2 linked regions of the Canis lupus familiaris genome follow. The protein of the gene in region 2 purifies or fractionates together with the protein of the main gene of each other region. This does not show direct contact. Links are inferred from orthologs where the notes say so. Each region holds a gene or a part of one and is shown on either strand. Other genes may lie near its edges.

Region 1 (5,322 bases), on a different chromosome or scaffold from region 2:
AGCCCACATATTGTAGGATATACAAAATGTCCAGAATAGGCAAATCCACAGAGACACAGAGCAGATTAGTGGTTGCCAGGGCCTAGAAGAAGAGAGACATCGGGAATGACTGCTGATAGGTATGGGCTTGTTGTTGTTTGGAGTGATGAAAAAGCTCTGGAATTAGATAGCTGTGATAATTGCACAACTTTATGAATATACTAAAAACACTGAATTGTACACTTTAAAAGGGTGAATGTTTTGGTATGTAAATTACATATTAGAACAAATAGAGACATGCATGCTAGAATAAAAATGAAAATTTTCTCCCCTAAAGTTGCAAGAAAAAAGAACTGATGTTAGTATTGTCATGTCATTCATGAACTGATGGATGGAGGATAAATTACTGTATCATTTTGGAAGGGCAGTTTAAAAATATGTGCATTGAGTCCTTCAACTTTTGAAATTAAATTTCATTTGAGCCAATAAGGTTTTGTGCAAGAAATTTAAAGAAAAATATTACATATGTTTGCAACTTTGGTTTCTTTATAACATTGATTGTAATGGAGAAAAAAATGAGAGACCAACAAAGTGAACAAACTAATTTGAATAAATCATGTTATATTCATACAAACTAACATGCTCTGTGTAGCCATATGGATACTCCCAAACACATATTAGAATGATATGTGTTAAAATGTTAGTACTCATTATTTTGGGTAGTCAAATTATTTTTATTTTATATCAATAACTTCTGGCTACTATCACATAAAACTTGTCTAAAATTGTATCTTGTTTATTTCCTTACTTATTATCAATTCCTTTACTCTAGTAGAACACAAGATCCCTTAAAGGAGGGCTCTTTCTACCCTAAATATTGTAGTATCCTTGGGCCTTGTTGCTCTAAGTAGGGCGTGAACAAGTATTTTTAAGAGAATGTGTGCATTAATTTCATTTTAAAAAGTTGTTTTTGAAAACCACTCCTTGTCTCCTTGTCTACATTACGTATGGGTGTGGTCAATGACTGTGGAACTCTAAATGTTAACTGTTTTTAATGAAACCACACTAAACTTATGTCTTTATGAAATCCCACTAAAATGCAGAAATGACTGTCTTCTAAAACCTTGTACATCAAAAATAATTTTATCACTTCTCAAGTTGTCATTATGACTATCAGCTGTTATTTTGCTTCCACAAGAGGTATAAAAAAGTACTGTTTATCTTTTTTTTTTTTTTCTGTTTATCTTTTATGTCCAGGTAGCAGATCCTGATCTCACCAGAATAATGTTCTGTGCTTTATCTTGACTTTTTATTCTTGATTTTGAAAAACAAATAAACAAACAATAAACACCTAAAGGTTCCTGAAATAGCCAAGGCTTAATTATGTTACAGTTGGCAATTTTTATTCTTTTTTTTTTTTTGTATTTTTTTTATTGGAGTTTGATTTGCCAACATGTAGCATAACACCCAGTGCTCATCCCATCAAGTGCCCATCACCGAGTCACCCCATCCCCTGCCCACCTCCCCTTATTCTTAAATATTATATTGTCACTCTACTAAATAGCCAATCTAGTCATTCATTATTTTCAGTTACCTATGTGACTCCATTAATCAAGCGACTAGTCTCCTTTCATTAGACTCTTTGATGTTGCTTTCCCAAGTTCAACCCCTAAGTTCAGAAAAATTAAAACTTCATGATGTCTTTTACTCTTAAGGTATCTTTGGGGCCTTTCTGAGGGCCAAGGGACAACCACAAAGACTTATTCTTTTACTTTTTAAAGAAAGGGATGCTAAAAAGTAAAAGTTTTTTTTTCATATGGTCTATATTTTTTAATTAGATCAACTCAATAGTAAGAATTGCGTGGGAAGAGCTATCAGAGGAGGAGCTCAGCCATCCTTATATTCATTCCATTCAAACAGATGTTATTAGTAATAAATACATGACAAAGATGACCCTTTACCTGAAAACTCTGTTATTCTTTATTTTCTGTGTAATCTGCTCAGAAACTAATCTCATTGACCATTTGTTTTTATTTTGACATTAGTTTAAATGGGCATCCTGGCCCTCAATTAAGATACTTTTTTTTTATGTGCCAAAACTCAGAGAAAAAAACCTGTTATCTTAGATTCTGGGTCTGAACTGAGCTGTGTGAGATGGAAGACACCTAGGAATCCATCAAGATGGCCTGACTGGGGACACCTGGGTGGCTCACCAGTTGAGCGTCTGCCTTTGGCTCAGGGCGTGATCCTGGGGTTCAGAATCGAGTCCTGCATCAGGCTCCTTGTGAGGAACCTGCTTCTCCCTCTGCTTATGTCTCTGCCTCTCTCTTGTGTCTCTCATGAATAAATAAATAAAATCTAAAAAAAAAAAAAAAAGATGGCCTGACTGACCACTAGTCCCACAGATGAGGGCTGTCAGGAAGTAGCATTCAAACCTATGCATCATGGCAGCGCAGGGCGGGAAACGCTTTCCCAGGATGTCTGGCAGGCTATGGTGTGGCCTATCCAACAGTCCTAAGGGCTCAATAACTGAGGGGATGGTTGTGGGAACAAACCATGCATATGGGAGCCTCTGGGACGCAGTAAGTGTTCTATCAGCCTGGGAGGGCACCCTGGGTCTGGGGTTGTGGGAATGGACAGGGATCCCAGTCAGGACTTTAATAGAAAACAACAGCAACAAAATACCAGTCATCTTAAAGCAACCTTGAAAAAGTGGGAACCCGAAATTACCTTTGGGACAAACTTTCTTGGTTTTGGGAAAGCACTATGAATGACCCCTTCAATGATAGGGGTTTAGTATAAGTACCCACACCAGGGTTGCCCCTGCTGTAAACAAACTCAGAAGGTAAATGACAAACTGGGAAGCTATGCAGTGTCCATGATCTCAAAGTGAATCTTCTAAACACGTAAGGAGTCCTTAAATACCACTGAGAAAAGACTCAGAGGCAAAGAAATATGAACAAGTTTTTTATAGAAAAATAAATATAAACAGTATATAAGCACATAATATTTATGTAGATTACCTTATAAAATATATAAATGAAATATCAAACATGTGAGTAAAAGAAATGCAAATTAAACCTAGGATGAGATATATTGATCTACTTCTCAGATGGACATAGAAAGTTCAATGTATAGCATTAGGGGATAGAAGGAAATAGGCACTCTCTGTCACTGTTCGTCTGAGATCAAACTGGCTAGAGCACTCAATTATTTGAAATGTGCTCCTTTTAAGCCAGCAATGTCTTTCCTAGGAATTTATCCTACGGACATATTCGCGCATATGTCCACAGATGTATGAATGTATGTACTTCAGCTTTATTTATGGTTGCAAAAGCCTGGAATTAAGCAGTAAGAAAAAAGGTTATCGGGGCACCTGGGTGGCTCAGTGGGTTAAGCATCAGATGCTTGATTTCAACTCAGGTCTTGATCTCTGGGTGGTGAGCCTTCTATTGGGCTCCATGCCCAGGGTGGAGCCTAATGAAAAAAAAAAAAAAAGGAGGGGTATCAGTACCTACCAGGCCTATAAATGAAATTATAGTAAAGTCATTCATTTAATAAATATTTTTGAGAGCCCATCACTACAGATGCAATTCTGTAATGAAGTATAGCAATTAAAAAAAATGAAGTCAATCTTTATGTATGACTATGGAATGATCTCCAAGATATATTGACAAAATGGAAAACAAGTGAAAAATATAAGGCATGCTGCCATGTGTATGGTGTGCTTCCAATTTCTTTCTTTCTTTTTTTTCTTTAAGGATTTTATTTGACAGGGAGAAAGTGCACAAGCAGGGGGAGTGGGAGATGGAGAAGCAGGCTGCTGCTAAACAGGGATCCCCAACCCTGGACTCAATCCCAGGACCCTGGGATCATGACCTGAGCCAAAGGCAGGTGCTTAACAGACTGAGTCACCCAGGTGCCCTTCTGCTTCCATTTTCATGATGGAAAAACATGCATGCACCCACAATATGTATGCTTTGATAGGCATAGAGTATTTCAGTAATGCCTACATCTGGGAAGAACTGGGAACTGGAAACTGCAAAAGAAGGCTTCTCAATTGTCCTATTTTTGTGCAACTTTAATTTTTAACCACATGCATGTACTACTTTTTCTCATTTAAATAACTTATTTTAGAATACATGTAGTAAGGAAAATATAATAATTTTCTATGAGAATCCTAAAAAAAAAAGTAAATGCAGAGGGTCCAGAAAGTAAAATGCTGTGTGTCAGTCATCTCTGGCTATGTCCTCTGGGATTCCAGGAGACAGCTCTCTGATGACTTCTGCACTCCCTATCTCCCTACAAGAACACATGGTTAGTAGAAACCAGTAGGGTAAATAAAGCTAAAATAACTGGTCTTTATTAGTAGATGTTTAGTGACCAGATGATCGGAGGTTACAATTCCTTTAATTATTGAATGTTCACATCTTAAAGGGACACCAACAAGACAAATAGTTTTCAAGATGGGGCAACTCTCATCACAATATTCACGTATTGTGGTAATCATCCAAATTCCCATGCATCATTAGCTTCTTTTATTCAAAGACTGAGTTAGAGTGCATCACAGCAGGAAGTTATAAGAACACTTTTCCTGCAGTTCTCCGAATAGAGTATCCACTTATGGACTCTTCCTTTGTTAGTCTTTCTGGATACAAAAGAATGAAATAGACCAAGAATAGGGTTTTTCCCTCTCTTCAGTTCTAAGATTCTTTCTCCTTCCTTGGAAATACTTCTATTTTCCCAGAAATCTTTCCAAACATTTAACTTTAACCTGACCACATATGGTCACACAGCAATGGGTACCAGATTTAGAAATATTATAAACTCCAACTCACTAAAACTGGCTGACTATAGCCCGTGTTTATTTGTATTCAGAGGGCAGGATTGAATTTTTTTTTTCTTTCATCAGTGAGGAAGCATCAGCTTTGTCCGTAGTCCAAGTTTACTGTAACATCAGCCAAAACTATGACTTTGTTTGTAACTCATCAGACGATGACCTCAAGCCTGACCTACAGCAGCCCATCTCCTGGGATGAAAAAGGTCATTTAAACACCTCAGCCCCTAGTCATTAGGAGAATACAAAATTTTATCTGAATTTAGTATTCTTAAGGTTAAGGTCTTTTCACAAAAGTAATACAGAAAAAATGAGTAATGACTTTTTAAAAAAGCTGAACAGGAATTAACTAGACTTGAAAACTTGAAATGTTTCTTCAGTAGTCCCTCTATAATAGAAAAAATGTATTTCATTATAGGTGAAGGGGATTGAGAGTACACTTGTTATGATGAACACTGAGTAATGTATAGAATTGTTGAGTCCCTATATTGTACATCTGAAACTAA
Region 2 (5,239 bases):
TCACACCAGCAGGAGGACACCGCTTGGAGAGTCGGGGAAACACAGGAGCTTCGCAGCCGCCTTCAGGCCTTCGTGAAGACAGACCGTGTCTTAAGAGGATGAATGTAATGAACCCGCGGTGCGAGGGCTTCTCAGCCCTCCTACACCCTCCTTCAAAAAAAATAAAAAAGAAGGAGAAGGAGAAGGAGAAAGAAGAAGAAGAAGAAGAAAGAAGAAGAAGAAGAAGAAGAAGAAGAAGAAGAAGAAGAAGAAGAAGAAGAAGAAGAAGAAGAAGAAAGAAGAAAGAAGAAGAAGAAGAAGAAGAAGAAGAAGAAGAAGAAGAAGAAGAAAAGAAGAAGAAGAAGAAGAAGAAAAATAAAGAGTGACCAAAGACCCCCTATCGACCCAAAATGCAGCACTTGGAAAGCTCTTGATTTCATGAAGGACTTAAATACCGTTTCTGCCTCACACAGTCTCAGCCCCTAAATCATCTTAGAGGCTCCATCTCAGCCTAGGGGTGTTAAAGTTTGGAAGCTACAAATAGGGCAGTTTGATGAGAAATTGGATAGAGACACTGAATAATAACAGATTTAGGAGAACTTCAAAGAAAAGACAGAGAAAGTAATTTCTAGTTTGGAGAAAATAAGAAGCATGTATTTCCTGAATGGAAGTAATTAATCTGAAATATTTTGTGATGGAAACTGTTTTTCAATTCGGTGTCTATGGCACGCATCCTACAGAACACCGCAAATACGTTCTTCCGCCTGTTAGAATCTTTTCCTCTCTGGCTTCCGGAATAAGTCAAATGTGCAACTATTCTGCTCCTAAAATGCCCATTCCAGGAGACCAGGGACCTTTCTGTCTTTTCTACCACTGTATTCTCATTCCTGGTACATAAAGACACACAATAAATATTTATTAGATAAGTTTTGGTCTAAAACTCAGTCTATAGTGCATGAGAGTTGTGAAACTGTGAGAAACATAGATATAGATAGATAGATACTAGGCCATGGTAATTTTTGAACTTAGAATAAAATAGAGCCTACTCTGAGAATCACAGTGTCTCAGTGGCCGTTCACTGCAATAAATCTCAAAGAAAGAAATTTAGAGAACTGGGAAGTTACAGCTCAAAGTCAGAGGCATCAGCTCTTCCATGCTGAGTGCCATCCGCCAAGCTCCCCACGGGCAAGTCGAACGTGCTGATAGTCCAAGAGGAAATGTGGAGAAGCAGAAAAGTGGGCAAAGGAGAAAGAGAGAGAGGAAGTCAGGAGAACTGGAAGTTGTATCATCGGACGCTCCTAATTCCACAGAAACTGGGCTGGCAACTGTGGGTCAGCGTGGGTCTACCTTGGTTTTTGGAAGGATGAACTACAGCCTTATTTTTAAGATGGATTCTTTGTGGCTTAAAGAATTGCATGAGATGGAGGAGAGAGGGACTTCGAAAAGGAGTTTCCAAAGGAAAATGAACAGTGTGAGAGAAATGCAAAGAGCCTCAACTGTTGCCTCTACCGCCAAGAGAGCTAGTCTGCTTTTCAGGCCTGGGGCAAGGCTGCACCTCCTTTCTCCCCAACGGTTAGAAACATCAAATAGATCAGAACCCCAGTGAAAGGGGGAAACGCACTCACCTGCTGGCTCTCCAGGTTACTGCTGTCTGTTGGGGCATCTCCCTAAGGAGGACCATGGTGGCCGCTCCCTGCCTCAGCGTGGGCAGACAGCGATCAAAGGAAATAAGCCCGTGCATCTGTTCAAGGAACATGCACCCCCAAAGCTCTTGGTGCATATGAGCCTCTTGAGGTTTATGCAACATTGAGAGTACGGATAATAAGGGGATGGTGCCATTTTGAGAGTCACATAATATCAGGTATTTGATAACAAAGAAATATTCAAATCTTGTGTCCAAATGCATTTGAGAGTCAGAAGGTGTGACCAGAAGGATAATCTGGACGTATAAAAGACGCAGATGGTAAAAGCACGTACGCAAGACGGGGTTACTAAAGACCTGCCTATGCTGGGGGCGGGGGGTAGAGGAGGGTGGTAAGGGACAAGGATGTCTGCTGCTGTTAGGGACATTTCTAAAGTCGTAAATGAGGAAGGTCTGTGTCTTTGGGTTGCTCTAAGGAAAATATCATAGACTGGCTTCTGAACAAGAAAAATTCATTTCTCACAGTTCCGGAAGCTGAGAAGTCCCAGATCAAGGCACTGGCATATTTGGTGAGAGCGGGCTTCTTGGTTCCTGGAGGGCTCTCTTTGCTGTGTCCTCACAGGGTGAGGGAGGGGGTGACCGCGTCCTCTGGAGCCCCTTTGATAAGAACCCCAGTGCCATCCATGAGGCCTCTACTCTACTGGCCTAACCACCTTCCAAAGGCCCCACTACCCGACACCATCACCTTGGAGATTAGGATTTCAACCTATGTATAGGAGGGAGTCTGGGGAGGGGGATCCAGAGGCACAAACATTCCGTCTACAGCAGCCTGTTGCTGTGTTTTGCTAACTGCAACTTTTTTTGACTGAATAAAACTCTATGGAGTTGTGTGGCGCATGTATATCTCACACACGGAAAGCAGGAAGCGATTAAAGGCAAGGGTTCCCCCCAGTGTGCTTTCAGGTCCTCCGTTCGAGGGCTGTGCTTTAGGGGGCACCACAGGTAAAATGGCAAAATCAATCATTGCCCAACCGCTCACTGATTGCTGAAAGAATAAACAACCTACCTCAGGAATCTCAGAAGAAGATAGAGAAGAGGAACAGAATATAGAGACAGAGATCAGAGAGCAGGCGTGTAAGAAGGGGGGGCGGTGAATTAAAAGGCACAGAACACCCGAGAAAAACAGAGACGACAGGTACTAGAGACATATTTTTAACCTAAGCCGACACCCTGGACCTTGTCACCAGGGTCCTTAGTGACGTCGCATGATCGCCGGGACTAGCAGGTGCTGTGGCCCGAGGTGAGCTGTCAGAGAGGGAACCGCAGGGGGACAAAGATGCCGCCTCGGTGTTTCCGACTGGCCTTCACTTGGCATTCCCTGGAATGGTACCAGCGGTTCAGGCTAGAAATCTATTTAGTCGGATCAGCCCTGACTAAATTCACTTGAAAGATGATAGAACCTGGGAATACGAGGAAATCCAGCCAGCCAACTCTCAATTACCCACGCTCCTCAGGGCCAGTGCGCGGAGCCGTGACCAAAATCTACAGGCAAGCCCAGCCCAACAACAGCTAACACCTAGTTTTAGCCTCCGTCTTTTGACCTTTCTCTCCATTCACCTCCATCGCTCCTTTGTCGGGGAAGTTGGCTAATTGTTAGATGAAGAGCCGCTCGTCCTCAAGTCGCACGTCGGTGATTAAGGTTCCGTGTCAAATGTCATCCTAAAGTCAGAAATGGAGATTTTAAGGAAACCGTTGTTTGCAGGCTACCTCGTTTGGGGGCATCAAACATCGACCTACGAGCCATCCTCGGGTACATGAGCATAGGAAGGGTCCACAAAGGTATCTTCAAGGTGCTGGCACCGCCTTTGTGCAGGTCCCGTGGGACGGGGAGACACAGTCCGGGCCGACGTTAGGGACGACGGTGCTACCGCTGTGACTGCCACCCCGACGCCCTGCCCTTGGTGCCACAGTCCCTCACCTGCTCCGGCAGTTACGCGGACCAGGTCGTGCGGGGGGCGAGGCGATTTATTAGTGCCCACCACTTAGATGCACCCTTCCGATCGTCTCAGCCGAGGAGCTCGGGGTCGAACCCAGCTGCGCGTTTGGATGACTCCCAGTCACCCCAGACTGCCGAGGGTCCTCGTGTGTCCTCGACGATGGATGTACAAGGGCAAGGACAAGCAGGTAAACACACAGGTAGACATAGGGGACACGTGTTGCCCGCATAGTGGAGGGTCCTGACTTTTCTTTTTTCTTTCTATTCTTTTTTCTGGCTCTTGTGAGACCCAAATCAAACTTATTCCTTTAGGATCTTGAGATAGTTTAGTGTCCTTAGGGTAAAATTTTTATTTTTCCTTAGGTGGTATAAGAGGGCTTCTGTTCCTGGTCAACAAACGATCCCAGACAAAGACAGAGATGAAGACGAGGCAGCTTTGACTGTGACTGTCTTCACTCTGAGTACAGTGACATCCTCACCCTCCAGGGCTTTATAAGGCATACGTAGGTAAAGGACGCTCTTAAATCAAGACCAACCACTCTAAAAATTACTTTTAAAAATTATTTAGATTTGTGAGGGAAAAGATCTATTAAAAAATAATGTTTTGATTCTTGAATTACCTTTCCATGCTCAGTAGAGCTGGGTATCTTAAAACCTCTCAAAGAAGAATAGAACATACTGATATTTCTCTGCATAAAATAGCATTAATACTGGCATCACCTACAGGTTAATGCAGGGAATTATTTCATTGAACATTATCCTAAAGCATCTAGAAGGCAAAGTGCACACATGTCCAGGTGTGAACACGTTTCTAGACTCTTTCAGGTAGTGCAATGAGAAACGGGTGAGGTGGTCGTGCGTGGGAGGGCTGTTGAGTTCCCCAAGGGGCGAGGAGACGGACGCACCCTCGCACCTGCTGTGGGGGGAGGCGGTGTCCGTGCTCTGCAGGTGGCCACGCGGCTGGGTCACACACCGGCTGGGCTTTGGGTGCCAGTCCCGCCCGTCGCCGTGTTCTGAGAGGCCTTGCCCCTGAGCGGGCCGCCAAGTCCAAGCCTCCATGTCCTCACTGTGACTGGAGGTGAGTGAGTCAACGGGTGGAGTCCACGCGCAGTGATGCCCGCATGTCACCCAGGCAGGCTCGACGTCTGCACCTGTTGTCTCAGGGAGCACCTTGGCCTTGAGGTGCGTCCTCTGCCTGGAGTGGCCGGCCTGTCCATGCAGCATGAGCTCGGGGTGTCCGGCCCACGACGACCCGCCCCTTCCAGGTGGTCTTCCCGGGTCCCCCAGGCACCGCAACCCCGCTCAGACCATCGGTCCTGGCCTGGTAATCCCAACCCAGGGTGGGCTATGTGGGGTCTGTACGATCCGCTGGTACAAACATGTCATCTTGTGGCTGAAAGTACGAACAGAAAGAACCCGAATAACATTAGGAGGACATAGGAACAAAATCACCCAACATTCTCTCCTAACAACAGGTAGATGGACAGACAATGTGCGCCGTAACCAGCTTAAACCCAAATCAAAGCCTAGAAAAAGAGTCTAAAATTCCAACATGGCAAGTTCTGAAATAAAAATGAAGAGAACTGGATTGTGAAAACAAACAAAAAACCATCCCTTTGAAT

The links. Proteins that work in one complex are often made in the same cells at the same time.
Region 1: the proteins of SDC2 (region 2) and FGF2 purify together in Homo sapiens (affinity purification with mass spectrometry; 4 studies listed by BioGRID and IntAct, counting the BioPlex papers as one, with this or other methods). This does not show direct contact. The link is inferred for Canis lupus familiaris from reciprocal best matches to the Homo sapiens genes SDC2 and FGF2.

The regions. Positions count from the first base shown.
Region 1 is NC_049240.1:18,290,454-18,295,775, forward strand, and holds the start of FGF2 (fibroblast growth factor 2), read right to left. Parts: upstream 3,253-5,322; coding exon 3,247-3,252; intron 1-3,246. UniProt on the Homo sapiens protein: Acts as a ligand for FGFR1, FGFR2, FGFR3 and FGFR4. Also acts as an integrin ligand which is required for FGF2 signaling. Binds to integrin ITGAV:ITGB3.
Region 2 is NC_049250.1:41,598,934-41,604,172, reverse strand, and holds the start of SDC2 (syndecan-2), read right to left. Parts: upstream 3,426-5,239; coding exon 3,389-3,425; intron 1-3,388. UniProt on the Homo sapiens protein: Cell surface proteoglycan which regulates dendritic arbor morphogenesis.